Linked DNA regions of Canis lupus familiaris. The protein of the gene in region 7 interacts with the protein of the main gene of each other region in a pairwise test. Links are inferred from orthologs where the notes say so. Each region holds a gene or a part of one and is shown on either strand. Other genes may lie near its edges.

Evidence for each region.
Region 1: the proteins of SEC22A (region 7) and EDA interact in binary tests that used the Homo sapiens proteins (3 or more experiments, as listed by UniProt). The two-hybrid records come from large-scale screens. The link is inferred for Canis lupus familiaris from reciprocal best matches to the Homo sapiens genes SEC22A and EDA.
Region 2: the proteins of SEC22A (region 7) and ERLIN1 interact in binary tests that used the Homo sapiens proteins (3 or more experiments, as listed by UniProt). The two-hybrid records come from large-scale screens. The link is inferred for Canis lupus familiaris from reciprocal best matches to the Homo sapiens genes SEC22A and ERLIN1.
Region 3: the proteins of SEC22A (region 7) and FATE1 interact in binary tests that used the Homo sapiens proteins (3 or more experiments, as listed by UniProt). The two-hybrid records come from large-scale screens. The link is inferred for Canis lupus familiaris from reciprocal best matches to the Homo sapiens genes SEC22A and FATE1.
Region 4: the proteins of SEC22A (region 7) and TMEM79 interact in binary tests that used the Homo sapiens proteins (3 or more experiments, as listed by UniProt). The two-hybrid records come from large-scale screens. The link is inferred for Canis lupus familiaris from reciprocal best matches to the Homo sapiens genes SEC22A and TMEM79.
Region 5: the proteins of SEC22A (region 7) and STX4 interact in binary tests that used the Homo sapiens proteins (3 or more experiments, as listed by UniProt). The two-hybrid records come from large-scale screens. The link is inferred for Canis lupus familiaris from reciprocal best matches to the Homo sapiens genes SEC22A and STX4.
Region 6: the proteins of SEC22A (region 7) and SFTPC interact in binary tests that used the Homo sapiens proteins (3 or more experiments, as listed by UniProt). The two-hybrid records come from large-scale screens. The link is inferred for Canis lupus familiaris from reciprocal best matches to the Homo sapiens genes SEC22A and SFTPC.

Annotation. Positions count from the first base shown.
Region 1 is NC_049260.1:54,265,629-54,269,889, reverse strand, and holds the start of EDA (ectodysplasin-A), read right to left. Parts: upstream 2,801-4,261; 5' UTR 2,578-2,800; coding exon 2,194-2,577; intron 1-2,193. UniProt on the Homo sapiens protein: Cytokine which is involved in epithelial-mesenchymal signaling during morphogenesis of ectodermal organs. Functions as a ligand activating the DEATH-domain containing receptors EDAR and EDA2R. May also play a role in cell adhesion.
Region 2 is NC_049249.1:13,112,007-13,115,283, forward strand, and holds the end of ERLIN1 (erlin-1), read right to left. Parts: intron 2,799-3,277; coding exon 2,577-2,798; 3' UTR 501-2,576; downstream 1-500. UniProt on the Homo sapiens protein: Component of the ERLIN1/ERLIN2 complex which mediates the endoplasmic reticulum-associated degradation (ERAD) of inositol 1,4,5-trisphosphate receptors (IP3Rs).
Region 3 is NC_049260.1:120,980,271-120,984,403, reverse strand, and holds the start of FATE1 (fetal and adult testis-expressed transcript protein), read right to left. Parts: upstream 2,801-4,133; 5' UTR 2,706-2,800; coding exon 2,600-2,705; intron 1,577-2,599; coding exon 1,449-1,576; intron 1-1,448. UniProt on the Homo sapiens protein: Involved in the regulation of endoplasmic reticulum (ER)-mitochondria coupling. Negatively regulates the ER-mitochondria distance and Ca(2+) transfer from ER to mitochondria possibly implicating it in the regulation of apoptosis.
Region 4 is NC_049228.1:41,578,400-41,582,550, reverse strand, and holds the start of TMEM79 (transmembrane protein 79), read left to right. Parts: upstream 1-1,351; 5' UTR 1,352-1,670; exon of another isoform or gene 1,671-2,219; 5' UTR 2,220-2,301; intron 2,302-2,586; exon of another isoform or gene 2,587-2,590; 5' UTR 2,591-2,704; intron 2,705-3,503; 5' UTR 3,504-3,546; coding exon 3,547-4,151. Other genes in the region: protein SMG5, read right to left, coding at 1,034-1,107.
Region 5 is NC_049227.1:17,346,011-17,348,885, reverse strand, and holds the end of STX4 (syntaxin-4), read left to right. Parts: intron 1-166; coding exon 167-275; intron 276-347; coding exon 348-424; intron 425-660; coding exon 661-798; intron 799-1,718; coding exon 1,719-1,829; intron 1,830-1,921; coding exon 1,922-2,002; 3' UTR 2,003-2,020; intron 2,021-2,115; 3' UTR 2,116-2,375; downstream 2,376-2,875. UniProt on the Homo sapiens protein: Plasma membrane t-SNARE that mediates docking of transport vesicles. Necessary for the translocation of SLC2A4 from intracellular vesicles to the plasma membrane.
Region 6 is NC_049246.1:35,255,085-35,259,062, reverse strand, and holds SFTPC (pulmonary surfactant-associated protein C), read left to right. Parts: upstream 1-1,178; 5' UTR 1,179-1,267; coding exon 1,268-1,336; intron 1,337-2,036; coding exon 2,037-2,195; intron 2,196-2,551; coding exon 2,552-2,674; intron 2,675-2,927; coding exon 2,928-3,038; intron 3,039-3,395; coding exon 3,396-3,536; 3' UTR 3,537-3,546; intron 3,547-3,721; 3' UTR 3,722-3,929; downstream 3,930-3,978. UniProt on the Homo sapiens protein: Pulmonary surfactant associated proteins promote alveolar stability by lowering the surface tension at the air-liquid interface in the peripheral air spaces.
Region 7 is NC_049254.1:26,897,105-26,901,349, reverse strand, and holds the start of SEC22A (vesicle-trafficking protein SEC22a), read right to left. Parts: upstream 2,801-4,245; 5' UTR 2,696-2,800; intron 2,626-2,695; exon of another isoform or gene 2,500-2,625; intron 2,221-2,499; exon of another isoform or gene 1,878-2,220; 5' UTR 1,758-1,877; coding exon 1,744-1,757; intron 1-1,743. UniProt on the Homo sapiens protein: May be involved in vesicle transport between the ER and the Golgi complex.

The DNA.
Region 1 (4,261 bases), on a different chromosome or scaffold from region 7:
GGGTGGGGAGAGTGGGTATAGTAAAACTAATATTCTCAAGAGAAACATAATTTGAATCTGGGCTAAAATTCCTTGAAAGTGTACTTCAATTCTCCTGAAAGTAACAGTGAGGAAGAGTAAAGATACATGTTAAACTTAGTCTGGCCAAAATACAGGTAGAATAAAAGAAATTGACGCAAACCTGAGCCCTGTACATTGTAAGAATTGTACTACGGAGCTCCATCCCACTTTCTCCCAAAAGTTCCAGGAGTTGCCTGCTATAGGGGAACAAATGAACTTTCTTGAACTGGGAGTCAAGAGGCCAACTTCCTATCTACCCTTGACCATAGCTGTAAATGACCTTGGATAAATCATTCCCCTCCCTCAGGACCTATGTGCTATCCAAGGAGATCAAACAAAATGGACTCATATGGCCCCTTACAATTGTAAAAGTGTCTGACTCCAATTGATGCCAGCAAATCTAAAGAGCCAGTTTGCTTGTCGTGACTGCTCAAAAAAGATTAAAACAGAAGTAAAGGACAGAAAATGAGGAGCTGTATGTAAATCTAGACAGAACTATTTGAAGTGCCATGCAAACAATAGGCAACTAAATGCCACTGTAGACCAGTGAGAGCCCCATACCACCACAGAAGAGTGCAGCTGTCCTGCTATAATCCTTAGTCTATAAACATAGGTCTGTCCATCCTAAATACTGAAAAGGGTTGGCTACCATTTGACTAAGGAAGTTCAATTACTTCATCTTTTCACAGAATATCAATGTTCAGCTGTTAAGTATTTCTACTGGGCACTGTGGGGGTGGGGGTGGATAGATAAAGGGAGCCAGAATCCTAGTTAATTATCATTTAGCTACAGTGTTTAAAGTTTCAAGTATGAGAAGCATGTCTACTGATTCTCTTCTTTGATAAGCTGTTATATAAGTATGTTGGAGTGTGCTAGCAAGACATTTTTAGGCTCAGGGTAATTTTACAATGCACAATGTAGAATATATGTCAGTCCCAACATTACAGTTTCGTCATGAATGTGATGCCAGCTTTGGATGGGTAGTCAAAGAGCAGAAATGATGTTTACAGAGTATGACAATGACTCTGAATGTGGTAGTAAATATAGAAATCCGGGGTCCCTCATTTCAAGAAACTTATTGGCACAACTTGCCCTCTTCCCCAAAAGGAACAAATTCACTATTATTCTCTAACCACCTCAAAAAGATTCTCTTACACTTGCCTCTTTTAAATTTCACGACAAAATAGGGCAGTTAAGAGAATACGTATTTTAAGTGCACTAAAGTTAGTTGAATAAAGAGCTGAAAAAGTGGAAGACAATCACCAAAGCTAATAGTTTGCCAACTATAAAGACTGCAAAACAAAACAAAAACTGCTCTTGAAAGATTACTCTTGAGTAATTCATTATACCATCAGTGGATTCTTTTTCTGGAACTAGCAGTAGTGAAGAGACTTCACACTTACCCTATTCACACCCCCACCCCCAAGAGTCAGAACCGGCATGCAAAGGGTGAGTTTTATTTTCATAGATTTTTTAAATTGCTGTTCAAAAGTTGTCTAGCAAGACGGCATACTTCTACCAGAATTCCACCGGGGCGCTGATCCTCACTAGAACACTGAGGACAATCAGTCTCAAATTGCAGGTAAGTGTGACCAAGCCCACGTTGTGGTCAGCGTACAAGGACCCGCGCTAAATATACGATTAAAAGTTGTTTCAACTGTGGAGCAGTTACTACAGCCGTTTACCGCTCCAACTCCAAAGGAGAGCCTGCTTGTGCTGGCATCAGCTCTGGACACGAAAAAACAAGCACCGCGGGCAGAGAATCTCACCAGGAGTAGAAGGGCTAAGCTGCTGCCGTTAGTCCTCCGGAGGGGCAGCGTCCGCACCTCCGCGGCCGGGAGAGCCGCCAACTTTCCCCAAGGCAGCTGGTAGCCGGGGGCGGCGGGCGCCTGCCAGGGTTCCCAAGTCCAGGGGTCCTGAGAGAGTCTGGGGGAACTAGACCAGGACCGAGGGCAACCTGCCCCGGGGCAACCTCTCCCCGGCTCGCCTGCCTCCTCCCCGGTCCGGCCCTGCAACTTGGCTGGAGGTGGCAGAGTCCTCCCCAGGGCCCTGTGGGGGAGGGCTCCCGCCCTGCCCACAAGGGAAGGGGGCCTCCGCCGCCGCCACCGCCACCGCCCCTACTAGGTGACTCACCTGGTGCCCGTCCCGGGAGTGTGGGGGGAGTGCGGTTTCTTCTGCTTCCAGCGGCTGCTGCTGAGGTGATGGCTGCCCGGAGTCGCGAGTGATGGGACCGTCAGGGTCGAGGCCACCGGGGCTGTTCAGGGTGCCAGGGGTGCCGGGGCCAAGGCGGGACTCGGCTCCCCGTTCCCGCCGCAACTCGGAGCGCAACTCTAGGTAGCAGCACAACGTCAGCAGGTGGAGGGCCAGCGAGAGGCCAAAGAAACCCAGGAAGAGTCGGCAGCTGTTCCCTTCACCCGCCTGGGCAGGGGCCCCGCGACAGCCGCAGCCCTGGCTCCCCCGCTCCCGCGGCGCTGCTGTGGGCAGAGGTTCCCGGCGCTCTACCTCTGGGTAGCCCATGGCCTCCGGAGACACCCACTCTCTGAGGCCCTGGAGCCGCCGCGTCTGCCTCAGCCGTTCAGGACCCCTGACAGGCAGCTACTGCCCTGCCATCGGTTAGGGGCTGCAGGGACCCGTTCCAAAGCAACGGAGGCTGGGCGGAACGGAGCAGGGAGCTGCCGCATGTGCAGCTCCACTCTGAGGGGTGGGAAAGGGAGGAGGAGGCACGGGGGAGAGGGGCGGCTCGGCCTGAGGGGAGAATGAAGGAGGTGGCCCAAGCCGACCCCGCCCCATCCCCCGGGCGGCTGCCCGAACGCCCAACCACCGGCCGGCCAGCCCTTGGCGCTCCGCCCCCTGCCATTCCACCCTGGGCCTCCAGCCACTGGGCGGGGCCTGGGGGCGTGGGGGTTCGCCTCTGCCTGACTGCCCCACCCAGTTCTTCCCGCTTGCGCCTGTTCCAGTTGGTGACCGCCGCTGTCGTTCATGCCTGGACTCCGCCCCAATTTAACCCCCTACCGTCCAAACCGGCAGGAGGAGGGAAGAAGGGGGAGGCCGAGAATTTGGGAACCTTGGAAAGAAAGTGGAGCAAAGAAAAGGAGGCAGAACCTAGAATTAATAGAAATGTTTGCAATTAACTGCAGTTGTTAATAACATCATCCAGCACTTATCTGTTGCTTTCAATCTTCAAAGCGTTTAACAGACGTTAAACTAATTAAAACAGTTCTTGGTTTGGAATGAAACCATGCCTGCAGTGTTTGCAATCCTGTGGCGCGCCAAAGGAAAAAGGAAACCCAGGAGCCTGGGAGCCAAAGGGAGTGAGATTGGGGTGGAAATGAGGCAGCCCCACTCCTGGAGTGAGTCTCGAGCCTCAATCTAAGTGGCCGAAAAGTGCAGGTAAGCCAGGTGGAGCTGAGGTGATGTTGCCCCATGCAGGTTCAAACAGTCTCCTGAGATTTCTTGATCTATTAATTAATTCAACAAATATGTGTGGGTCCCTTTACAATGCAGAAAGTGCTGTATGAGATAATCCACAGCCAGAGGAGTTTCTCGCCTGCCTCTGCAACCAGTTTTCAGCAGAGAATATGTGCCTTCAATGAATAAATGGGGATATTGAGGGCCAGGTGAGGTGCATTTTTACAAGGGTGGTCCACAGAACCGGCCAGGCAATATTGGCATCTCTGTTTGTAGGCAACTGTTCTGGCCTCTCCACCTCTCCCCTCCCCTCCTCTCCCTGGAGTAGTCCCTGGGGGAAGTTCAACAAGTCAGCCAACTGTTCCAGATGTACACTGCTGCAACTGCAGCATCTTCCACAGCTGAACCAATGAGAAAAAGTTTCAGAGCAAAAACCAAAAAAAAATAAAAAGACAAATGTCAGAACAATAGACCCTGAAATGAAGTATGGAAAGGATTAGTTGAGTCACAATCAACAAGAGTTACTAGTCTGAGATTATAGAGAGCTAAATGACCATAGCAGGGGAAATATGTGTGCTTCTTGGTCACTATGTACTCCTATTCCCATGCTATAAATAATTAGCAGTTTAATTGACTTGTCAAGGGTAGGCCTGAGACCTAGGCTGATGGGAAAGAAGAAGAATAGGGAGATATAGAAAAGAAACTGTGAAGCAAAAGCAAAACATGCACTGGAAAGGTCAGTCCAAAAAGCACAGGAGTCATAAACCTTACATATATTAGCCACAGCCAACTT
Region 2 (3,277 bases), on a different chromosome or scaffold from region 7:
AAACCCTGATACCCAACATCACTGTGAAACTGTTCCCCAGGAAGGAAAGGTTGAGAGCTTAGGAAGAGCAGGTCCAGCCCTGGCTCTTGGACTAACATCTGAATTAGTGAAGTTAGTTACATCATACCACTGCCAGTTATAATTTGTACAATTTGTCCTTCCTCTACCTCAGTAAAACCACCATTTCCCTTCTTTACTTCTTAGACTCTGAAGGGCACAATGCTCCAGGCTCCCTCTTTCCTCCTCTGATGCTGGCCACATCCCACCAAGAAACACAACATTCCTTGTTAAATTCTGTGAGTTAGGAAGAGTGGAAACCCTGCTTTCAAAATTCTTATACTCGGGAAGCAGTATTCTGAGAAGAGTATAAGAAAAGCCTTTGCAGTTGAGTTAAACTAGTAAATAAACTGGCTACCTAGATGAAATGGGCAAGACAGTCTTAGCAACGTGTTAAATCAACAGAAAAGAATGGAGACATAGGAAAAAAAAATACAAATCACTGATAGTAAAATAATTTTATTTGGTTTCTTTTTTTTAAAAAAAGGTAGCATTTCACATATAAATTTAGACTTCAAGATTACAGTGTATATTTGCCAAAAGGAACATCCCTGCAGGAGGGATAGACTTAGAGCCTGAGCGAGCACTGGGAAGCACACTCCATGGAGAGTTTAAGTGGAAGTAGTTTCTTTACAATTTCACAACATTAGTTCCCTGTTCCTCAACTCTGTCACCAGGGGGCTTGTAAGAAAACCCACATCCATCATTTTGGGGCAACAGCTTTTAGCTCATGGGAATAGGAAACATCTCTAGGAATGAAAGCACAAAGGTCAATTGACCCAAATTTCCCACAACAATCATTATCTACCTGCAGCAACGATACCATGACAGGTGATGAGTTTATTCTTATAGTTCAAAGGTTCTTTAAAGGAGGACTAGAAAACGTAAGATCCATTCATAAAGAGAGTGTATACAATAGGCAAAAATAAAAAAAGGATTCTCTCCATATTACAAATGCCTCTCTAGTGTAAGGCCCAGGGAAAAGACCCACTCATGTCTGGGATACCTTCCCCAGAAAGTGTTTGGCACAACCTGCAAACTGTCATGAGGCTGACAGGACTGACAGCGGAAAGGTTTCTGGAAGTGGTCCCATGACTTTTCTCTCTGGCTTGAACATCGTATACATGAAAAGTGTCTTAACAAGCTGCACAAACTCAGGCCTAACTATGCAGCACACTGTTTCGGGAAAGGTAATCCAAAGGGAATAAAGGCCCAGATGAAACAGGTCTCCCATTGCCACAGGCCAACTCATAACTCACTCTGTCATCCTCTCACAGGAGACTAAATCCCCTGGCTGCCCAGGAAGTCAGTGGAATCCTGATTTCCTAGGGAGGATGAAAGGTGGAGAACAACTTTGATTTCAGTATCTCAGAGCCAGGAAAAAAAAAAGAGAGAGAGAGAGAGACAAAGATGACCAAAGATGCTAAGTTACTCTGTTCCACACTATGTAGGCTCCAGAAGGACAAATTGAGGAGAATCGGTGTGCCAGTAACCATGGCAGCCCTAGGACTAGCCTTTAGGCAGAGGTACTGAGGCAAATAAATGTACCCCAAATCCAGTTTTAAAAATGAAAACTTCCTGCAGTTATGATACAATACTATACAGTGAACAGCTGGGGACTGTATGCTGCTCGCAGTTCTGATTAAAGCCCTGCCCCACTCTTGGCCAGCCAGAGCTGAGAGGTGACTTATAAGGAGTCTATAGCTAAAAACCAGGCACCTTAGTTATGAATGGCCTTGGGGCAGTGATGCAGTCATCATCCAATGGAGGGGAATGCAGGGCCCCAGAGCTTTGGTTCAAAGCAAAGGTTTCATCTCACCCAGAACTTCAAGCCAAGCTCTATCTCTGAGCCTACTAATGCAATAACTAGTGATTAGGAATCCCTGGTTGGGTGGCAAGGTACATATCCCAGCAGGCCACCAACTCGACTATAGGAAAACAAAAAGGTGCAAATAGTATCAAGTAAATAGTTGCTCAAGTGGAAGATCATTTCCTGGAGAACCTCAGCAGACTAGATGCTAATCACACAGATGAACACTGGGACTGGGCCCCAAAGAGAGAGCCTGGGCCCCAGGTGTAATCGATCTTCTTTACACTTACCACATCCTGGCCATCTTCTCTGGCCTCCTATGTCTTGAATGGCTGAGCACACATCTCCCCGGGGACCAATGTAAACATTATTCAATAGATCTCAGCTTAGAAAAACACAGCTTGTTATTTTCTTAATGTCTAACATTCCAGTGCAGGCAGTATCTTAGCATCAGACTTTTCCTCATTCATGAGTACCAGTTCAGAAAGGAACACACACAGGATACTTGATAAAACTGTAGCTGAAAAGACATTTGGGTGCCAGACACCTGGCTCTATCTTCCAATCAGCTGATAAACCAGGGCTACCACAGGAGAGGCAGAACAGACGGAGCACAGGTTCTCTGTGAATCTGAAGAGTCGTATAACTATTGTTCCCACTTTACCCCTTGGGCCACATTTTGATATGGGAGTACATTTCCACCACTTGCATCAACCTGTGCTCTCCTTGTTTTGGATGGGGCTCTCTCCTGAGGGTTCAAGAGCCTCCTTAGAGAGGAGAGAGCTTTTTCTTCCAGTCCTAACATCTGAATATTTCGAAGCACAAGAGGAGTCCATGAACATGCTAGGGATGTTGCTGCCAAAGTAGATCTTACTGTTAGAAGCAATGGCCTGGTACCTTTTGAGCTCCAGATATTCCGGGGTCAATTTGTGCTGTGTGGGAGCAAACAAGAGCAAAGGCATCAGGACGCTTCTGTCCAACAGTCATCTCTCTCTTTTCTCACAAATGTTTTTCCTACTGCTTTTCTGAATATCACTACTCAATGCTGAATCACTGCCAATGACCTCCTCTCAGTTTGAAGCATGGCTATCACATTAACAGCTATATTTTAGACTTGAAGTTCCTTAAACAAGCTCCTGTCCTTCATTTTTTAATAAAGAAATGATTGAGGAGGTGGGTTCCTGGGAACAAGGATAATAACTAAGATTTCCATAGTGACTTGGACCTTGCAAAATAATTTTGTATATACTTTCTTATTTCATCTAGCTGAGTTCAACCTGGAAATCAGTCTGGAATCTCGGCAGGTTCTCTTTTAAGAGGTAAATAGGTCAAAGGATGAGAGTAGCAGAGCTTCAAAGGAGCTGGGTTCATAACCTTATAATCAACCATCTGTGATTCTGCTTTTCTTGAC
Region 3 (4,133 bases), on a different chromosome or scaffold from region 7:
TTCTAAAGCTTTCCCTCCCTCACAGTGAAAGTGTGGAACAGATTGGATACAGAACTTGAAACTCAGATGACTCCCTTCAACAGTCAGGTCCCTCTCCTCTCCAACTGGGTTCTCTTTTTCCAGCAACTTTTGCAACAGTATAGCAACCATGTTTCCAAAGCTTCTTCTCACTTAGCAGTGAATGTAACCTAAAGGATTGGCTACACAGTGAGAGATCTCACGGGATTCCCTAGAACACTCAGGTCTCCCTCCTCTCCAAAATGACCACCTTTTCCCAGTATCCTTTGTAACAGTGTACCTGCCAGTTTTCCAGAGCTTTTCTTAACCCACATTAAAGGTACTTTAAAGGATTGGCTACATAATGGTCAGATTCAATTGATTGGATTTCCTAACAGCCAGGGAACATAGGAACCTAACTTGTCTTAATCTTTTTCCAGACTTGAGAATCATATTGTTTTATGTATGTATATTTCTATTTAATAGCGTAGATGAGGTCCATCTACAGTATCAAGGATTACTAATGTCTTTTACTTAAAGTCCACAGAGTGTAGATGCTAACTAAAATTCCAAAATGATGGGGATCCCTGGGTGGCTCAGCGGTTTAGTGCCTGCCTTTGGCCCAGGGCGCGATCCTGGAGTTCCGGGATCAAGTCCGGCGTCGGGCTCCCGGTGCATGGAGCTGCTTCTCCCTCCTCCTGTGTCTCTGCCTCTCTCTTTCTCTCTCTATCATAAATAAATAAATAAATCTTTAAAAAAATAAAAATAAAAATAAAATAAAATAAATTCCAAAATGCCTTCATGGCAACACCTAGACTAGTGTTTGATGGAATAACTGGGAACTACAGGCTACCCAACAAACAGGTAAACTTGACCCTCATAGTGATCTAATCATTAGGGAAGCTGAGGGAGAATTTGGACTTAGACCAGAGACTGTAGGACCTGTATGGGGACAGTGGGGCCTCCAATGGCTACAGACAGATTCTTTCTTTCCTATCCTTCCTTCCTTTTATTCATCAATGATTCTCATGATTCCAGGCTGATTATTTAGTTGATAATTAAATAATTTATATAGTTATAATTTATATAGATAATATAGATAATATAGATATGGAAGGAAATATACATATAGAATTATTTATTTATAAAGGAAAGTGTCATTTCACACACAATAGAGTTTTGCAAAATAAAGTGTATATGTAGTCCCCAAGGAATATGTGAATCCGGTGTTCTGGAAACCCAAGGTTGAGCTCCCAGCCTACCAAAGGATGGCCCTGACCTCTCAAAGGACATCCCTGCCTTCATTGCCTCACTGGTACACAAAAGCTTTTTCCTTTGGCCCCAAGTCAACATCTGGCTCTGCTCAACCTACCGTCATGAAGCTGGAGCCCCTTTAGTCTGTTGTCCCAACCCCAGCCTAGCCACTGCATGCCAAGGACTCCATACAGTACCGCTTTCTTGCTCCGGTTGCCAGTCATATTCCAACCCGATTGACCTGCAGCAGAGCCAGCAGCCTTTGGATCCGCCTTCTGTCGCCGCTGAGAAGCACCCACAGACTGGGATCCATGCTCCATCATTTCTAGGCAAAAGAAGAGAGGCCCCAGAAACACCCATAGAGGCTATACCAAGGCTTCCTGGACACAGGACACACCAGAAAGAGGATAAGGTACCCAAACTTCTTAGGAGTCATTCAATATTCATTCACTGTTGTCCCCTGGCAGATCCCAAGCCTCAGTCTGTTCATTTGTTTAAAAGTTTAGTAAGTATTTCTTGAGGGCCAAACTCTGGGCTAGGTTACTGGAGGGAGAGCAATGACCAAGACACAAGATCTCAGCAATCTAGTAATCAACTGTCTATGTGTGCTTAGCTGAAGTGAGGGGTGCAAAATGGGTATAATCTATCAGTGTTAACTCAGATCAAGAGATACATGCTCCCAAAATGATAAGAACAGGGCAACATGGTGGAAGGAAGGGCTACTTCTAGAAAAGCCAGAAACACCTGTGAGGCAGAGACCTGAAAGACAAAAATGATGGCAGCCATGGAAAATCTAGGAAAACAGCATCCCAGGCAGAGGTAGCAGTCAACACAAAGGCTATCAGGAAGAATCAGCCTTCGGGTCTTATGAGGACAAGTATAAATGCAGTGTGCTGTGGGTCATCATACCACAGCATGAAATATATTGAGGAGGTGGCATTGGCTGGCTCTTGTAGATCAAGGAAAGGAGTTTGGATTTTACTCTAAAGGAGGAAAAGGCATTAAAAAGGAGAGAGAATTGGTCTGAATGATCTTATAAATTGAGCGCTCTGGATACTTTGCCATAAACACAGTGGTAGCTTGGACAGGGGGAGATAAGGACCACACATGTGGATCCCATCCTACTCTCTCACAGGCTTCAAAATGCTCACATCATCAATACCTTTCCCCCCCAGCTTCCTGTTCATCAAGGCACAAATACAGGTATACGCACACCAAGGCACAGACACACACATAGCCACACATACTTGCATATATATGACTCTTCCCAGCCATGAACACACCTTCTCCAACACATGTGACTGGGTGCAGACACCCAAAGGAAAGGGACATTACAGGGGCTCCTCACCTGCTATCACCAGGTGCTCCTGGCTTTTCCCATAGTTTCCAGGAACCAGCTCTTCAGCGATGGATGTTTCCATCTCCTCCTTGATAGTAGGGGGGCCTCCTGCCATCACAGCTAGCGCTTAGCTATTAAGCTATAGCCAGGATACACAGGAAGCCGGGCACAGAGCAGACTCTTGGAAAGTCTGCTCTTCCAGGGGCAGGAGCTCGAGGAAGATATATCTGGCCATGGGGGTGGAGCCACACTCTCCCACAGGACTCAGGCCTTGGACCCAGCACCTTGTGTTCCTGTTGTATCTTATTGGCTTGGTTCACAGTCTTCTCCCCTGCTACTCTGTAAGCAACTTAGGAGGAGGAGTTTCTGATACTTATCTCAGAAACTTTGCCTGTGAGAACTACCCTGGCTCTCGGGTCACATGATTTGGCCCCATTGAGGGGCCAGTGGGATCTACTCTCCATCATTTCTAAAGAGAGGTAGATACTGGCACAGGACCCCAAAGCCAGTCAGTAGCCAGAACAGGGTTAGATCCCAAACTTGTTGTGGCTTCTGCAAGCCCAGCTCTGGCAAGTATTTCAGGCCACAGCTCCCCTCAGGAGGCATCCTCTACAGAGCACATCTTGTTTCCCCCCAATGTAGAGTTCCCAGGGGAGATGGCCTTTTAATGCCTTGGGTCAGTCTGAGCAGGAACCATGAGAATCTAAGGAGGGAAGGGCAGGAAAGAAGGGATCTACCTGTAGCCACTGGAGGGCCCACTGTCCCCAGGCAGGCCCTGCAGTCCCTGGTCTAAGTCCAAATTCTCTCTCAGCTTCCCTAATGATTAGACCACTGTGAGGGTCAAGTTTATCTGTTCGTTGGGTAGCCTATAGTTCCCAGTTATTCCATCAAACACTAGTCTAGGTGTTGCTATGAAGTTATTTTGGAGCTTTGGTTGACATTTGCACTCTGTGGACTTTAAGTAAAAGACATTACTAATCCTTGATAATGTGGATAGGCCTCATTTAATGAGTTGAAAGGCCTGAAGAGCAAAGACTGAGGTTTTCCAGCGAAGAAGAAATTTTGCTCAAGAATGCAACATCGGGAAACAAAAGCAAACAAAAACTCCTGGGACTAAATCAGAATACAAAGCTTTGGCACAGTAAAGGAACCTGTCAACAAAACAGAAAGGCAACCTAGTGAATGGGAAAAGATATGGGCAAATGATGTATCTGAGAAGGGGTTAAAATGCAAAATATATAAAGAACTGATACAACTGTCAGCACTAGAAAAACAAAAAAATCCAATTTAAGAAGGGGCAGAGGACCTGAATAGACTTATTTCCAAAGAAGACATACAGATGGCCAACAGACATGTGAAAAGATGCTCAGCATCACTCATCATCAGGGAAATGCAAATCAAAACCACCATGAGGTATCACCTCACCCCTGTGAGAATGGCTAAAATCAACAATACAAGAAACAAGTGTTGGTGAGGACATGGAAAAAAAAAGGAACCCTCACGCACGGTTGGTGGGAATGCAAATTGGTGCAGCCACTATGGA
Region 4 (4,151 bases), on a different chromosome or scaffold from region 7:
TAGGCGCCCAGGGGCTGCTGGATTGGATCACTTTTCTATTTTTGGAAGAGCCTATACTCCCCTCTGCCTCTTACTTACAAAGGCCAAGCCGGCAGGATGCCTACTCCAGGGAGGAAAAGACAACATGCTCTTGACTCTTTCACTACCAAAATGGGGCCCACTGCTCTGAGGGCTCTGTTCTACAGAGCCTGAGCTAAATGAAAAACTCAAACCTACCAGTTACTGGAAAGCAGCAACCTCAGCTTGGTCTCATGCTTCACCCCACTCTGCCCCAGTTCCAGAGCCCACGGTCCAGGAGCCCCGCATAAAAAATCCTCCAACCCCGGTGAGAGAGCGCATAGGGGCCTCAAGATGAGGGGTGAAGACAGGACTGCAGGACAGTGAGTGGTGCTGCGGAAACCAGAAACCAGGAATGGAAGCTGCCTGGCCAGGGACTGCAGTAGTCATGAGGCTGTGAGGAGGCAGGGCTCAAGAGCGGGAGTGCTCAGGTGCCCTGAAATAGGCGCCCATGACCTAGGGAACGCTCCGGGCTCAATGCCCTTCGTGGCCCTTCCAGGCCAACACGACTCGTCTTCAGCCTCTCTTTTCATTCGAATTCCCCAAAACTGGAGCCAGAGAGACTTCAGAGCGTATCCAGCCGAAGCCTGACCCCTCCAGGATGCGGAGAGCGAGGCCCAAGGTCACATGGAGCGCTCGGCTCTCCGGGCTGTAATCCGGGGCGCTCCCCTCTGGGACCTGGGGGATTCGGAGCGCCTCTCCCTTCCAGGTTCTCCCCGCCGGCGACCGCATCCTCACCTCCGCGGCCTGCAGAGCTCGGGGCCCGCCTCAGGCTCCCGGCCAAGGCCCTCCTCCACGTGCGCCCCCCGCCGCCCGGCCGCCCTCGGCCCTCGGCCCCGGCCCGCCACCGCGCGGACCCCGCTCGCCGCCCGGCCGCGCCCTCCCGCTCCCACCGCACCCCGTCCCCGCCCGCCGCGGTCCCGCCCCCGCGGCGCCCACTTCCCCCGGCGGCCGCACGCACGCCCCGGCCACTCACCGGTAAAGCCGCTTGGTATGGAGGACCTTCGCCTCGGGCTCGCTGCTCTCCCCTGGGGGGGGGCCTTGGCTCATGGTGCCCGGGTCCGGGGCGGCTCCCGGTCACAGGCCCCCGCCGCCCGCCGCTACCGCCACCACTGTCGTGTCCGGCCAGAGCCGGAGCCGCAGCCGCTGCCGGCCCTGCTCGGCCGCCATCGCTGTGAGGCGGCTGCCTGCGACAGCTCCTCCTCCGCCCGCCAAATCTCGCGATAGCAGCTGCCCAGCTGCGAGTCGGTGGCCTGAAGGTTACCAAATCTCGCGAAGCTCGTTTTCCCTCCGGGAAGTTGCCAGAACTAACTCTGGGCAACGCAGCCTCCTTCCGGTTTTTCCACGTCCTTGCGAAAAACTTTATTGACAAAGCTGCCGTGGGACGGACAGTGGGGCCGAATCTGTGCTGGGTGGCTGCCGATGGGCTCGAAGCCCGGAGCGAGGCTTTTTGCTCTGTCCTGCAGTGGCCATTTGACCATCCTTCCAACCCTTCCCAGCCCCCCACTGGAGCCGCATCTCTTTCAGATGACTGCTGATTCCCCTTCTTCCTTTTCCCCATCACTTGAACAACGTGAATGTGCAGGTTTCCTTGGAAAATGTGGGACACAAGAGTAAGGCTCTCCCGAGACGTGACCCTTGCAGGGCGCCGCGGCCCTGGGCTCCCGCGGCTGGATTTCACTTGGTGTCTCTGGTCAGCCCAGCAAAATTCATGGAACACCTGCTGCCCCCTGGCCACAAGCCAGGGCTCTGGAGATGCAGGGACCAGCAATCCAGACACTGTCCCGCCCTCACAAAGCTCAGGTGGCTTCTGGGGTGAGGTCCCACAGGGATGAGCAGCCACTCTCACATTTCTGCTTGAAAAGTCGCTCTGAATTCTTACAGCTTTCTTAACCCTGAACCTGGCTACAAAGCAAGGTGTTTCGTGGTCTGTGTAAGCTGTAATAGGAACACGAGTTCTTTCCCACCCCTGTCTCCTGGTTCCAGCCACCAGCCTTTCTTCTGTTCCTGAAATTGCCTGAGCTGGTCATTCCCCTGTTCTCTCCTCGAGACACTCCTCCTTTCCCATCAGGTCACAGCCCAAATGTCATCTTGGCAAAGAGGTTTTTCTTCACTCGAATTGTCTTCTTGATTAAGGTCTTTATCATCTGTTACCCCAATAGAACAAGCTCTTTGAAGACAGAGACCTCACCTGTCATCTTCTCTCCTGTGTCTGTGCCTAAAAGAGCGCTTAGCTGAAAACAGGTGCTCAACAAATATTGCATGGATAAATGTAGAAATTCCACCTCTTTTCTGGGTATCCCAACCTATTCCAAACACCCTTTGACGTACAGACCCACTCTTTATCCTCTGCTTTCCTGAACTTCAAGTTCCCACACATCCCATGTGCCTGGAACTCACACTGACCTTTATGCCCAGCTGCACCCCCACTTTCAGAAAGCAGGATATCCTCCACCAGGGCTTTTCTGTCGGCAGATTCAGCAGGGCGGGGCCTGCCCCTTTAATCTGGGCCCCACCTGCTCTGGTCAGACAGGTTTGGAGACACTGGTAGAGGGAGAGAGACTGAGAGGAATAGTTGCGGAGCCAGCAGAGGACCCAGGCAGCTCCTTTCCAGACGTTGGGGACCCTCCGCCTCTCCAGATGGAAAGTAAGAGGGTGTCATGGGTCCACGTGGCAAGGGATAGAAGGCCCTAGAGGAGGTGGAGAGACGGGACTCAGCCCCTTCCAGCAGCACTGCGATGGAGGAAACAGGGAGGGGAGAAAGACAAGAGAGGAGGCATGGGAACAGCCATAATTAGACCTAGACATCAGAATGGACAGCCCCAGGCCCTCTGGAGATGGAGGATGAAAGACAGGGGCTAAGGAAGAGTGTGGAGACTGCCCAGGTACACAACTTGGAGACAGAAGAGCAGGACGCACTACTGCTGCTAATTCCTTGGGACTTATTTGTTGGCAGATCCCTGGTATCAGTTACCAGGAGAGTTCCAAGCAGGAATCTACAAGGAGAAGGGGAGGTTTGAAGGTGAAGGAGCAGCTTCTCCATCCACAGGGAGGCCCCTAGTGGGAAGGAAGCTCCTGGCAAAGCTCTAGAAACCCACTCTTCCTCCTGTTTCCGCACTAGGGTGGCTATGACCCCAGGGATTTGGGTGGAGGGGTTAGGAAGAGTGGGTGGACTGGCCGGGGCCACAGCTGCCAGCGCCTGTGCCCCCTGACTCACCCTCTCCTGCTGGATGGCCTTTGATGGTGAAAAGGTGTCTCCATTATGGCTGCTCACTTCCCTCCCATCTCCTGTGTCAACACCTTCCTCTGTACCATGTTCACCCTAAGGTCCCAGAAGGGGCTAATGCCCATGAGACCAGCTGCCCGGAACCATTCCAATTCTATCAACCTGTCCCAAGGGCCAGAAGCCAGGAACTTCTAACAGAGCTTTCCTCCACTCCCTCCAGGGTGATATGACCTTATGGTAGACACCAGAACTGAGGCCCCAGCATGACAGAACCCGAAACCCTGGCCCTGCTGCAAGTGAAGGGGTCTGAGGCTGTGGAGAAGAGCCTGCCCCAGGCCCTGGTCCCCAATGGCCAGCAGCCGGAAGAGGAAGGTGGGGCTGAGTCCCACAGAGCTGAGTCCTCCGAGATGGGGTCTCCAGCTAGATCTCCTGTGGCTGGAGAGGGGGCTGAGGATGGTCTCAACAGCACAGTGAGTGAGGCTGCCACCTTGCCATGGGGGACCGGCCCCCAGCCCAGCGCCCCATTCCCAGACCCCCCAGGCTGGCGGGACATCGAGCCAGAGCCACTCCGGTCGGAGCCACCCACCAAGCTAGAGGAGCTGTGCGAAGATGATGCCAACTTGCTGCCCGAGAAGGTGGCCCGGGCCTTTGTACCCATCGACCTGCAGTGCATCGAGCGGCGGCCCCAGGAGGACTCAGCTGTGCACTGTGAGGCGGGCGAGGGCGAGCGCAGACGGGCCTGCCTGTCCTCCCGGGCTGCTCAGCCTGAGCCCCGCGAGCGCAAGTGGGCTGAGGCCGTGGTGAAGCCGCCTGGCCGCTCCTGCAGGGGCTGCAGGGGCTGCGGGGGCCGGGAGGGGCTGAGAGCCGT
Region 5 (2,875 bases), on a different chromosome or scaffold from region 7:
CAATAGGGCCTTATAAGCCCTAGTAAAGGCTTTGGCTTTGACCTTGAGAGAATGGTGGTCAAGGCAGCAGGCTCCTAGAACAGCTTATGCTGTTTGCTCCCTATACTTATGGGGATGTTAAGGCCAAATCCTTCCGGGGTGCCCAGCCTATATTTTCTATCATCAGCATGGGGTCCTGTCCCAGCAATTCGTGGAGCTCATCAACAAGTGCAACTTGATGCAGTCCGAGTACCGGGAGAAGAATGTGGAGCGGATTCGGAGGCAGCTGAAGATCAGTGAGTTGTGGTGTCTGGCCTACAGGGTCAGGTAACCTGACCCAGCTCTGAGCCTGACCTTTTCCTTCACAGCAAATGCTGGAATGGTGTCTGATGAGGAGCTGGAGCAGATGCTGGACAGTGGGCAAAGCGAGGTGTTTGTATCCAATGTGAGTGGTCATGGCTAGCCTCCCTCTTCTGGGACTCTCATCTTCGCTGAGGCCTGGTCCCCTTTGATTGAGGGAATACAGAGGCCTGGAAGGGAATGACTTAGCATGCCTAGGGTCGCTCATCAAGGTCCTGGCCCCAGTTCTAAGCCTGAGGGCTGCCTGAAAGCTCAACAGGAACTTCTGATCTGCTGCTGGATTCCCTGTGACCTGTCTGGCCATTCCTATCTGCTCCCCAGATCCTGAAGGACACGCAGGTGACTCGACAGGCCCTAAATGAGATCTCAGCCCGGCACAGTGAGATACAGCAGCTTGAACGCAGCATCCGTGAACTTCATGAGATTTTCACTTTCCTGGCTACAGAAGTGGAGATGCAGGTGGGCAAGACAGCTGGCTGGGCTTGATGTGAGACCGTGTTCAGTCAGAAACCCCACTGTGTCTGTCAGTCCATCTCCACTCTCTAGCCTCTCTCCCCGAGGCTTTCATCCCCCTCCAGGCTGGGCCATGCCCCCAGGCTGGCCCTCACTCCCATCTGTAGCTGAGCCCCAGAATTGCTTCCACCTCCACATTACACAGATGGCCACTCCTCTACACTCACCATCTTACCCTGTCTCCCAGTTGAGCTACCCAGGATGTAGCCCAACTCTGGCTCCTCCTCCACCAATAGAATCCACCCTTATACCTCTAAGAGTTCTACTCAAAGATGCTCCTTAGGGGGCATGCCTCCACAGATCTGAATGAGGTTGGGGTGGGAGGTGGTGTTCTTCTGCTGCCCCCGTTGTGTGAGGTGAGGTAAGCTGCCGGCCTCTAGTGCTGCAGCCAATGCCCTTGTGCAGCTGGGATTCATGGGGAAGGCATTTCATTCAGTAGGAGTACCAGGACCTGAAGGCTGGCAGTGCCATGAGGAGGCAGGGTTGGGGAGGGCTTCACAGCTGTTGAGAGGCAAGCCTAGAAGAATGAGCAAATTCAGACAGATTTACAAAGAGACAGAAGTTCACCCTCTGTGACAAGGTATGAGCTTCTTAAGGCGCTTGGCTCCAAGCCACCACTGCAAATGAAGGTTGTAGGGGGTAAGGGAGCAGGGCAGAAGGGACTACATAATAAAAGGGATCCTGGAAGCCACCCTCAGGAGTGTGCACTTTGGTCAGATGTGGTCCTACCCCCACACCTTTGTTAGTGCTGCATTTCCTGCCAGAAAATGTCCTTTAGGCAGCTAGTGTGAGCAAGCAGAGGAGCTGATGGGCTCTCCACCCCCAGTCATCCCTACCTGCCTGAACTGTCCCCCTCCTCTGAGCAGGGGGAGATGATCAACCGGATTGAGAAGAACATCCTGAGCTCAGCAGACTATGTGGAACGCGGGCAGGAACATGTCAAGATTGCCCTGGAGAACCAGAAGAAGGCTCGGAAGGTGAGCCTTGACACCCCTTCCCTCCCCTCTAGTCTGAGGCCCTGGTTGCCTTCCCTCCCCTTCTGAGTTTGTTTCCCTGAACTCTCCCACAGAAGAAAGTCTTGATCGCCATTTGTGTGTCTGTCACTGTCGTCATTCTGGCAGTCATCATTGGTATCGCCACATTGGTTTGAGAGCATTGCACATTCTTGGTGAGCTATTGTGGGCCTGCCCCCTGGCCTGCCTCGTCCTGGGCCCCTGCCTTTCCTCCTCCCCTCAGACCCTCTTCTCCCTCCTTCCCTTACAGGCTCTAAGAACACCGGGGACCCGGGTCCGCCTTCTCTCCCAGCAGCTGAGGGGGGAGGGCAGGACAGAGCCTCCAACTGGACCCCCTTCCTCACACTGGCCCTGTGCAGAGGGGCAGACAGTTCTTCTGGGGTTGGCAGCCACTCATTCATGGGGGCTTCTCCACTCAGGCCACAATGCCTGGGGGAAGGCCTGCAGCGTCCTGTTTGGCTGGGACACATGGTTTTGTAAGAAAGTAAAAAAAGACAAACAGAAAAATGAGCTTGGAGACTGCCCCGTGCATGTATGTTCCTAGAAGAGCTGGCCCAGGGCCTCTACGTAGGCGGCCTCCTCTTTCCGTGGCCATCTTTGGGGCCAGGCCCATCCGAGGAAGACTCAGATCAGACTGTTCAGGTGCTGTGACCACAGCAGGCTAGCACTGCCCTTCTACTCTCCCTTAGGAACAGGTGGGCAGGGAGGGGCTAACACCCACATCTGGCTCAGTATTGTCCTTGGGGAAGGATTACTGTGAGTACCTAACCCCAAAGCAGTGAAGCTGGGCCTGGTAGGCTGGGACATAGGTGAGGTGTGTGTGGGCATCCATCGGCCTTCCTGAGGCCACGAGGCACCGTTGAGTAATGGAGGCTGTTACTCCAGATACAGTGAACAGGGAAAGTCCTGTCTCAGAAAGGGTGACATTTCAGTGGGCTGTTAAATGAGGAGGAGCCAGTTATGAGAAGAAGCAGGGGGAGAGGCTGCAGGGCAGAGCCCAGAAAAAGGCA
Region 6 (3,978 bases), on a different chromosome or scaffold from region 7:
TTCAAATCTTCACATTCATTTTAAGAACACTCATGAAGCTGCCCAGGTCACCAAGGCTATGTCTATCCCCAAAGCCATCAAGTATCTGAAGGATGTCCCTTTACAGAAGCAATGTGTGCCATTCCATCATCATCATGGTGGGGCCGATAGGTGGGCCCAGGCCAAACAGTGGGGCAGGGCATGGTGTCAGTGGCCTATAAACAGTGCTGAATTTTTGCTGCATGGGCTTAAAGATGTAGAGTAATGCTAAACCTAAGGGTTTAGATGTAGATTCCCTGGTCATCGGGCACATTCAGGTGAACAAAGCCCCAAAACGAGCCACTAAATTTACAGAGCTTGTGGTCAGATTAACCCCTGCAAAAGCCCTCCTTGCCACATCAAGATGATCCTTACTGAAACAGAGCAGATCGTTCCCAAACCGGAAGAGGAGGTTGCATAGATGAGAAAGATATCCCACAAGAAGCTGGAGAAACAGCAATGTATGGCCTGGGAATAAATTCAGCATGAAATGGATGCAAATAAAAGTAAAAGCAGGGGGAAAGGCCTTTAGCTTACAAACCAGCCCATAGCAGAGAATGAAAAACCACATATTGGTAGATAAAAACCTATAGCCAGAGGGGACAGAGTCTTCAGGATCAGGAAAAGAATGACTGAGGCAAGTCTGAGGTTAGGTAGCAGATGTGTGGGAGGAGGCCAGGCAGGTGGCATACTGGAAGTGAAAATGTGAGGCTCTTCAAGAAATGGCCATGATGAACCCCCACACTGATGCCAAAGCACCACCTGCCTTCAGCTGTGCCCCCCTGGGCTTGCAGGCACTGCCTCCTCACTCCTCTCCCTGGAGCTCATCCTAGACACAGGGAAAATTCTGTCGGGAAGTGTGCTGGACTCCACATTGGGTCAGACCCCTGACTGCCTGAGAGGTTCAACCTGGCAGAAGAACAGGGAAAGCCACAAAACTGCAGGGGCAGGTGCCAGCAAGAAAGGCGGCCAATGCCAGGAAGACACCTACGGAGAGAGGTGCAGATTGCCCAAGGGCAAATTTGCTCAGTGCACCCAGCTTTGCTCTCACCGAGGCCAAGTGGACTCATGTGCCAGGGCCGAGGGTCCTCAGGCGCTCTTGAGCTGGCTTATCAGGACCTCAGTTCTGGAGGGCCAGGAACAAACAGGTTTCAAAGTCAAGGGCTTGGCTGGCAGAAGGAGACTGGGTCCTTCACTTCTGTCCCCTCTCCCTACCGGCGTATATAAGAGCCTAGGTCCCATTTGGGAGATGAGAGGGGAAGGTGCCTGCAGCAAGATGGATGTGGGCAGCAAGGAGGTCTTGATCGAGAGCCCGCCGGTGAGTATGACTGTGTGTGTGTATATGTCAGTGAGCTGGGCTTTGCCTCATCCAACCCCCCTCAGCCTGTTTCTTCATCCAACTTCATCTACTTAATTAACCTAGGACTGTGCTAAGTTAGGGCAGGGACACCAACCACTAAGTCCCTTGGGGAGATGGACATGGCAACCAATCATTCCAACATGGGGGGCCGAGAGGCACAACAGTGGTCAGTGCAAAGGGCTGCAGAGAGCACCGAGTAAGCAGCTGCCGTGTGGGAAGTCACAGGAAGCTTCACAGAGAAAATGACATTTGAGCTGGCTCCAGAAGAATAGGTAGGAGCTCACTAGGTGGAGGAGGCAAGCATTGGCAGGAAGAAGGGGTAGCGTGTGTAAAGGCAGGGAGGTGTGAGAGAGCACAGATTATTTGGGGGAATAGAAAGGGATGGGAATGGCCGGGGTGCCAGGGGTCCAGAGGAAACAGCAAGAGACGAGTCTGGTGAGGCAGGCTCCCTTGGGTCTCTCCACGCTAGACTACACGTCTAAGCATTTCTGGTGGAATCCAGGCCACCTCCTCCAAGAAGCCTTCTCTGTTCTCAGCCCTCCTTTGCACATCCATAGCATTGGTGTCCAGCTGTGGGAGGGTGCCCCGCTTGTGCAGGGAGAGGAGGGACCATCCTCACGACCTCATACCTGTTTCCCTGCCTGCCCCACCATGTCAGGACTACTCAGCAGCTCCCCGGGGCCGGTTGGGCATCCCCTGCTTCCCTTCGTCCCTCAAACGCCTGCTCATCATCGTAGTAGTGATAGTCCTTGTGGTCGTGGTGATTGTCGGCGCTCTGCTAATGGGTCTTCACATGAGCCAGAAACACACTGAGATGGTGAGCAGGCCTAGAATGGAGTGGGCTGTGGGTACAGAACCTGTGAAACAGAGGGGCTTGGGGTGGGCTTGGCAGATAGGGAAGTGTTTGATGGGAATGGAGAGGAGGAGGCAGGGGGTGCCTTGAGAAAGGACAGAAGCAGGAGCCAGGTAGCAACCGGGGCTTGGGCTTTTCCACCAGGCTTGTGGCTGGCATGGCCGCCTGTTCCTTCCAGCATCCTGTCCCACCCAGCCTGTCTGAGCTCTCAGAGAAGACGGGATTGCATTTTAGTAAAGAGGGCTGAGGGTGGAGGTAGGCACCGAAGGGATGTGTGGGGAAAGAGAAATACCAGGCCACCACCCTATGACTTCCTCCAGGTCCTAGAGATGAGCATGGGGGGGCCAGAAGCCCAGCAGCGCCTGGCCCTGCAGGAGCGTGTGGGCACCACTGCCACCTTCTCCATTGGCTCCACTGGCATCGTAGTGTATGACTACCAGCGGGTGGGTACACCTGGACCTCTCAACCCTGGGGACGGGGGCCAATGACAAGCCTTTGCTGGACCCACAGAGCTGTGTCACTTCATGCACACCCATCTCTCCCCGGTTCCTAGTCCCTTTGCCTCCCCAGGCTGAGCCCCAGATTCCAATATGACTCTCCCGGGTGCCTAGCCCAGAGGAAGATGGCCCAGGCTCAGGGTTAGGGAGTGAGCAAGGCGGGTCCTTCCTGAATGAACTCTGGGGTTCGTGTACTCAGCTCCTGATTGCCTATAAGCCAGCCCCGGGAACCTGTTGCTACATCATGAAGATGACTCCAGAGAACATCCCAAGTCTTGAGGCTCTCACTAGAAAGTTTCAGGACTTCCAGGTAGGTGTGTGAGTGAGAAGAGGTGGGTCGTCCCCTTCCCAGGGCTGCCGGGAGGAGCATCTGAGGAGGACAGCAATTTGTCACCTGTAAAGCGCTGCTCCCTGTGGGCTGCCAGGTGAGTGCCCTCTCTAGACTCACCTGTACCACCCCTTCCCTACCTGTGCCAGCCTGCTGGCCTCAGCTGAACCTCACCACCTGGGGGCTTCTGACTCCAGCACAGCCCCTCTTTACTGGTGAAGAAAGCAAGACTTTTATAAGGCCCAGAGAGATGGCCTGACACGCCCAAGGTCCCACCGTAAGGACCACAGGTGAGACAGAAACTCCGTTCCCAGGCTCCAAATCAGGTGCTCTTTCTAGGTCAAGCCAGCCGTGTCTACCTCTAAGCTGGGACAGGAGGAGGGCCATGATGCTGGCTCAGCATCCCCTGGGGATCCTCTGGACTTCCTGGGCACCACAGTGAGCACCCTGTGTGGTGAGGTGCCCCTCTTCTACATCTAGGACCCCTCAGGTGAGCAGGTGTGACCTGGGCAGGACTGCCCCACCTTGCCATGTCAGCTGACCCGGAACTGGGGAACCCACTAAGCCAGATCATCTAGGGAGCTCTGGGGAGGGAAGGGTCATACACTTCCCTGTCCCCCGGCCCCTCCCCCTCACCTGATAAACTGTGTTTCTTTGCTCCTCAGGACCCACGGAGGCCCCAGGTGAGGAGGGAAGATCCACGCTCAAAGGGTCTTTGGCAGAGACGCGGGAAGCTGCTCCTGCCCACACCACGGGGACCAGCGCTGGCGAAATGGGAGCTGTGGGGAGAGGTGGGAGCGGGCAGGAGCTGCGGCTCCTGGGCACACGGGGCTCCGACCACGAAAGAATAAAGCAACCTGATTGAAAAATAAAGGGTGCGGCTCTTCCATCCTCCAGGCCCTCGCCCTCGGTCCCGCCCTCG
Region 7 (4,245 bases):
AGCAAGATTGAGAGAAAAGGGAAGGTCTCTGTACAGCCGCAGGTTAACATAAAGACACTTGAAAAACAGAGCTTGAAGAGGAAAAGGGGAAAGCGTACCAAAGACAATCAGAATTTATTTTACAGTTTTGCCTACCCACCCCCACACCTTACCAGCAGCCTTCAGTACTCCTATTACAGGTGCCTGTACTACACAGTACATCTAGCCTCAGGCTCCAGAGTAGATTATACCCACAACGAGGAACAGGGCCCCCAACACAGGCACAAATGTGTCAATCCCTAACAGTTGTGCAGCACCTTACAGTTTACAAACAGTGAGTGAGATAATACCTCTATTTGACAGATGAGGAAATTGAAGGTCCCTTTCTCAATGTCACACTGCAAATATATAGCCAAACTGGTGCTTATACCTAAGTTTTCTGTGTCTCCAAATCGTTGTCAGTCTCCTAAAACCCACAAGGGGCAAGAACCCAGTGATTGAAGCTATCTAGCCACAAATTTTGGAATAATAAAAGACCACCTTATATTTTCCTTAAGACCACCTTATATTTTCCATAATAGTTAACATGATGGACTCTGGAACAGGTGTCTGGGTTCAAAAACTGGCTCCACCATGTGTTAACTGTAAACGTGAGCAAGTTTTGACTTTCTACACTCAAGTTGCCTCACCTGTAAATTGTGGTCACTACTAGTGTGTATCTCATAGGATTGTTTGAAAGCTACTAATAGTATCTACCTGATAGGGATACATAAAGAACCTGAAACATCACCCTGTAGGACTAAAAGTAGAATATTATTATTATTTAATAATTAACTGCTCTCTATTTACCAGGCACTTTATACACTACCTCATTTAGGCCTTCTGATAACCTGTGAGATGGGTATTATCAGTTTTGTTTTACCTTTGAGGAAATTCAAGCTCAGAAAAGAATTTAGGGAATCCCTGGGTGGCGCAGCGGTTTAGCGCCTGCCTTTGGCCCAGGGCGCGATCCTGGAGACCCAGGATCGAATCCCACGTCGGGCTCCCGGTGCATGGAGCCTGCTTCTCCCTCTGCCTGTGTCTCTGCCTCTCTCTCTCTCTCTCTGTGACTATCATAAATAAATAAAAATTTAAAAAGAAAAGAATTTAGGCAAGTCCAACGTTTGTAAGTGACAGACTTCCATACAGGCTGAACTCTAACCAAACAGTGAACCCAACCAAACACTGCCTCACGACACAGCCAAGCTTCCTACTCAAGTATATGGAAAGTCAGAGCCAAGTCTTTGATAAGACCTGTGCTTCTTTTAAACATCGTTATAGGGCAGCCCGGGGGGGGGCTCAGTGGTTTAGCGCCTGCCTTCAGCCCGGGGCCTGATCCTCGAGTCTCGGGATCGAATCCCACGTCGGGCTTCCTGCATGAAGCCTGCTTCTCCCTCTGCTTGTGTCTCTGCCCTTCTCTCTGTATCTCTCGTGAATAAATAAAATCTTTAAAAAATAAACATCAACATAAAATATGCGTAGATTTTTAAAAATCAATTCATTCACATACACACACACAAATCACTAAACTGTTACCACGGTTTTCAACACAGGAAATGCCCAGGCGCCCCATTAATTTAGGGCATGGCCACATACGTTGGATTCAAGTGCTCAACTACAACCTTCAACACCGGAAAGCATAGGTACTGTTTCCAGTACTGCCCAACTCCTTATAATCTCTCAGCACGTGAGCAAATTCAGAGTTTAGAAAAGTGGATGCTCCACCTGTTAGCTGGCATCACAACATCTCGCGTCTGGTGGCTGACGCTCTAGCCCTGGGCTCTGCCTTGGCTGTCTAGGCATAGGAGGGGCTGCTTCTCAAGCTCTCCAACTTGCCCCCAAGCGGACGATCCAGGAAACTAAGGCAGAGAAAAAGTCCAAAGCTGTTTTTGCGGGCAGAGAGATTCAAGTCCCTGGGGCTCCTATTTCCGAGCCCCTCTTCCACCTGCCCAGCCAAGCGCTCAGGTCTCCTTGTAAGGCCACATCTCTCCCAAAGTTGCCAGGGGCAGGCAGGGCAGGCGTTTCTCTTGGGCCAACGACGGCCGATCTCTGGGCTCAATGCAAATTAAATCCCCACAGGACGCGAAGTAAGCTGCTGGTTCAAATCCCACCCTAGCCTTTAAAAAGCAGTAAACGCCAGGTCGAGCTCTCTGGGCCACCTAAGTAGCCTCGAGGGATTACCGTGTTTCTAACAACTGGGGGCCACGCCCACCGGCCACGCCCCGCCCACCGCCACGCCCCCTCTCGGCCACAACACGCGTTGCCCCGCCCACCGCCCCGCCCCCCGGACTGCGCCACGCCGGTTGCCCCGCCCACAGCCCCGCCCCCTCGGCCCCCGCCCCGCCCCCCGCCGCCGCGGGGCGCCCACAGCGACTCTCCCTCCCGGAGCGCCCTGCCTGGGTCAGCCCCGGGGCAGCCGCCGCTCGCGGCTTCGCCCACAGCCCCCTCCCGTCGCAGGGGACGAAGCCCCCGGCATCGCACCTCTCCACCTCTCCCGAGCGCCGCGGCTCCAACCACCCGGCTCCCGCCCCCACGGCACGCGCTGGGTCCCCGCCCGGGGGGAAGGTCTGTGGCCGCGAAGGCCGCGGCGGCAGGCAGTCAGAGCCAGGGGCCGCCTGCCGGGGTCCCAGCGACCCTCGGAGCGGAGGACCGAGCGCCGGGACCGCCCGGGTCGTACCTGTCGAGCCGGGACCCGCCGCTCCGAGTGACGCGGCCCGCAGTGCATTGTGGGGCCGGGGAGGGGCCTTCCTGCGGGGCGGCCCCGCGTCCGACGTGGCTGGCGCCCGACGGGACCAGGCCCCGCCCCCGGCCCCTCGCCTAGGCCAATCAGCTTCTGCGGGGAGGCCACGCTGACCCGCCCCCTCCTGGGGGCCCGGAGTCGCCCCGCCCCCTTCCCGAAAAGACTGACAGCTCTTCACGCACCTGCGCCGAGAGGTTGCAAAGCGCTCAGCTGACGGCTAATGCTGTCTCACGAATAAAGCTCATCCGTCCTGCTGCCGCCTCTATCTAGAGGCAGTTTGTCTCTCACGCGGCCCTACAGCAAACACTTATCCAAGGAGCAGGGGGGAAACTAAGAAAAAAAAAAGGGATTTGTCCCATCTATCACCTCGCAAGAGGAAGCACCTAACCTCGGCAGAGAAATGCCAGATGCAGACCCTGCAGCCCCTTCCAACTTTTGCATGCGCCATACATTATTAAATAAGCACTTAATGACTGTGGACCACGTGCAAAGCACGGTGTCAGGCACCGGGTTACAGGAATGAACGTAACACTGGAGGGAATCTAAAGTGCAACGAGAGCGAGAGACGTTAAAGCAAAACGCATTACATAATTATAAATTGCAATCAGTACTATGAAGGAAAATTAGTAGGTGTGATGATGGATTAATTCTGGACTATCAGGGAAGAGTGTTTGAAGAAGCGCCTTTTAAGTATCAGGCATATGAAAGAGCCTTAAAGAATGGTTCAAGCCAAGAGAACATTAAAATCGTTAGGTTGTTGGGGCATGAAAGAACTTGGGGTGTTCTAGGAACTGAAAGGAAGTCAGTGTGGTTGAGATGTAGGGAGCAAGCTTCGGCTGAGATGAGACAGAGGCCAGACCGAGCAGGCTCTTACTGGCCACATAATGGCTTTTAGACTGTATTTTGGAATGTATCCTAAGGTTAATGGGCAGCTAATAGGGAACGTTAAACGGGATCTGATTTACATATTTAAAAGCTCACTCAGGCTATTTGTGGGAAATAGTATGGAAGAGGGCAAGTGGGGTTGCTGAAAGGCCAGGTGGGAGGTGGTTACATTAGTCAAAGCAGAGATGACAGTGGCTTGAACTAGGATAATGGCAGTAGAGACAGTGAGAGTTGGATAATTTCAAGACGTGTATGAATGAGAGGTGGAATCCAAGGGACTTAATAATGGATTGGTTTTCTGGGAAGAGTAAAGAAAAGAGGAGCATTAAGAATGACTCCTTAAGGGACGCCTGCATGGCTCAGCAGTTGAGCATCTGCCTTCGGCTCAGGGTGTGATCCTGGAGTCCCTGGATCGGGTCCCACATTGGGCCCCCTGCAGGGAGCCTGCTTCTCCCTCTGCCTATGTCTCTGCCTCTCTCTCTATGTCTTTCATGAATGAATAAATAAAATCTTAAAAAAAAAAAGAAAGAAAGAAAGAATGACTCCTTAAGTAACTAGATGGATTAAGAAGCCATTTACTGATTCGGGGAACATTAAAAGAG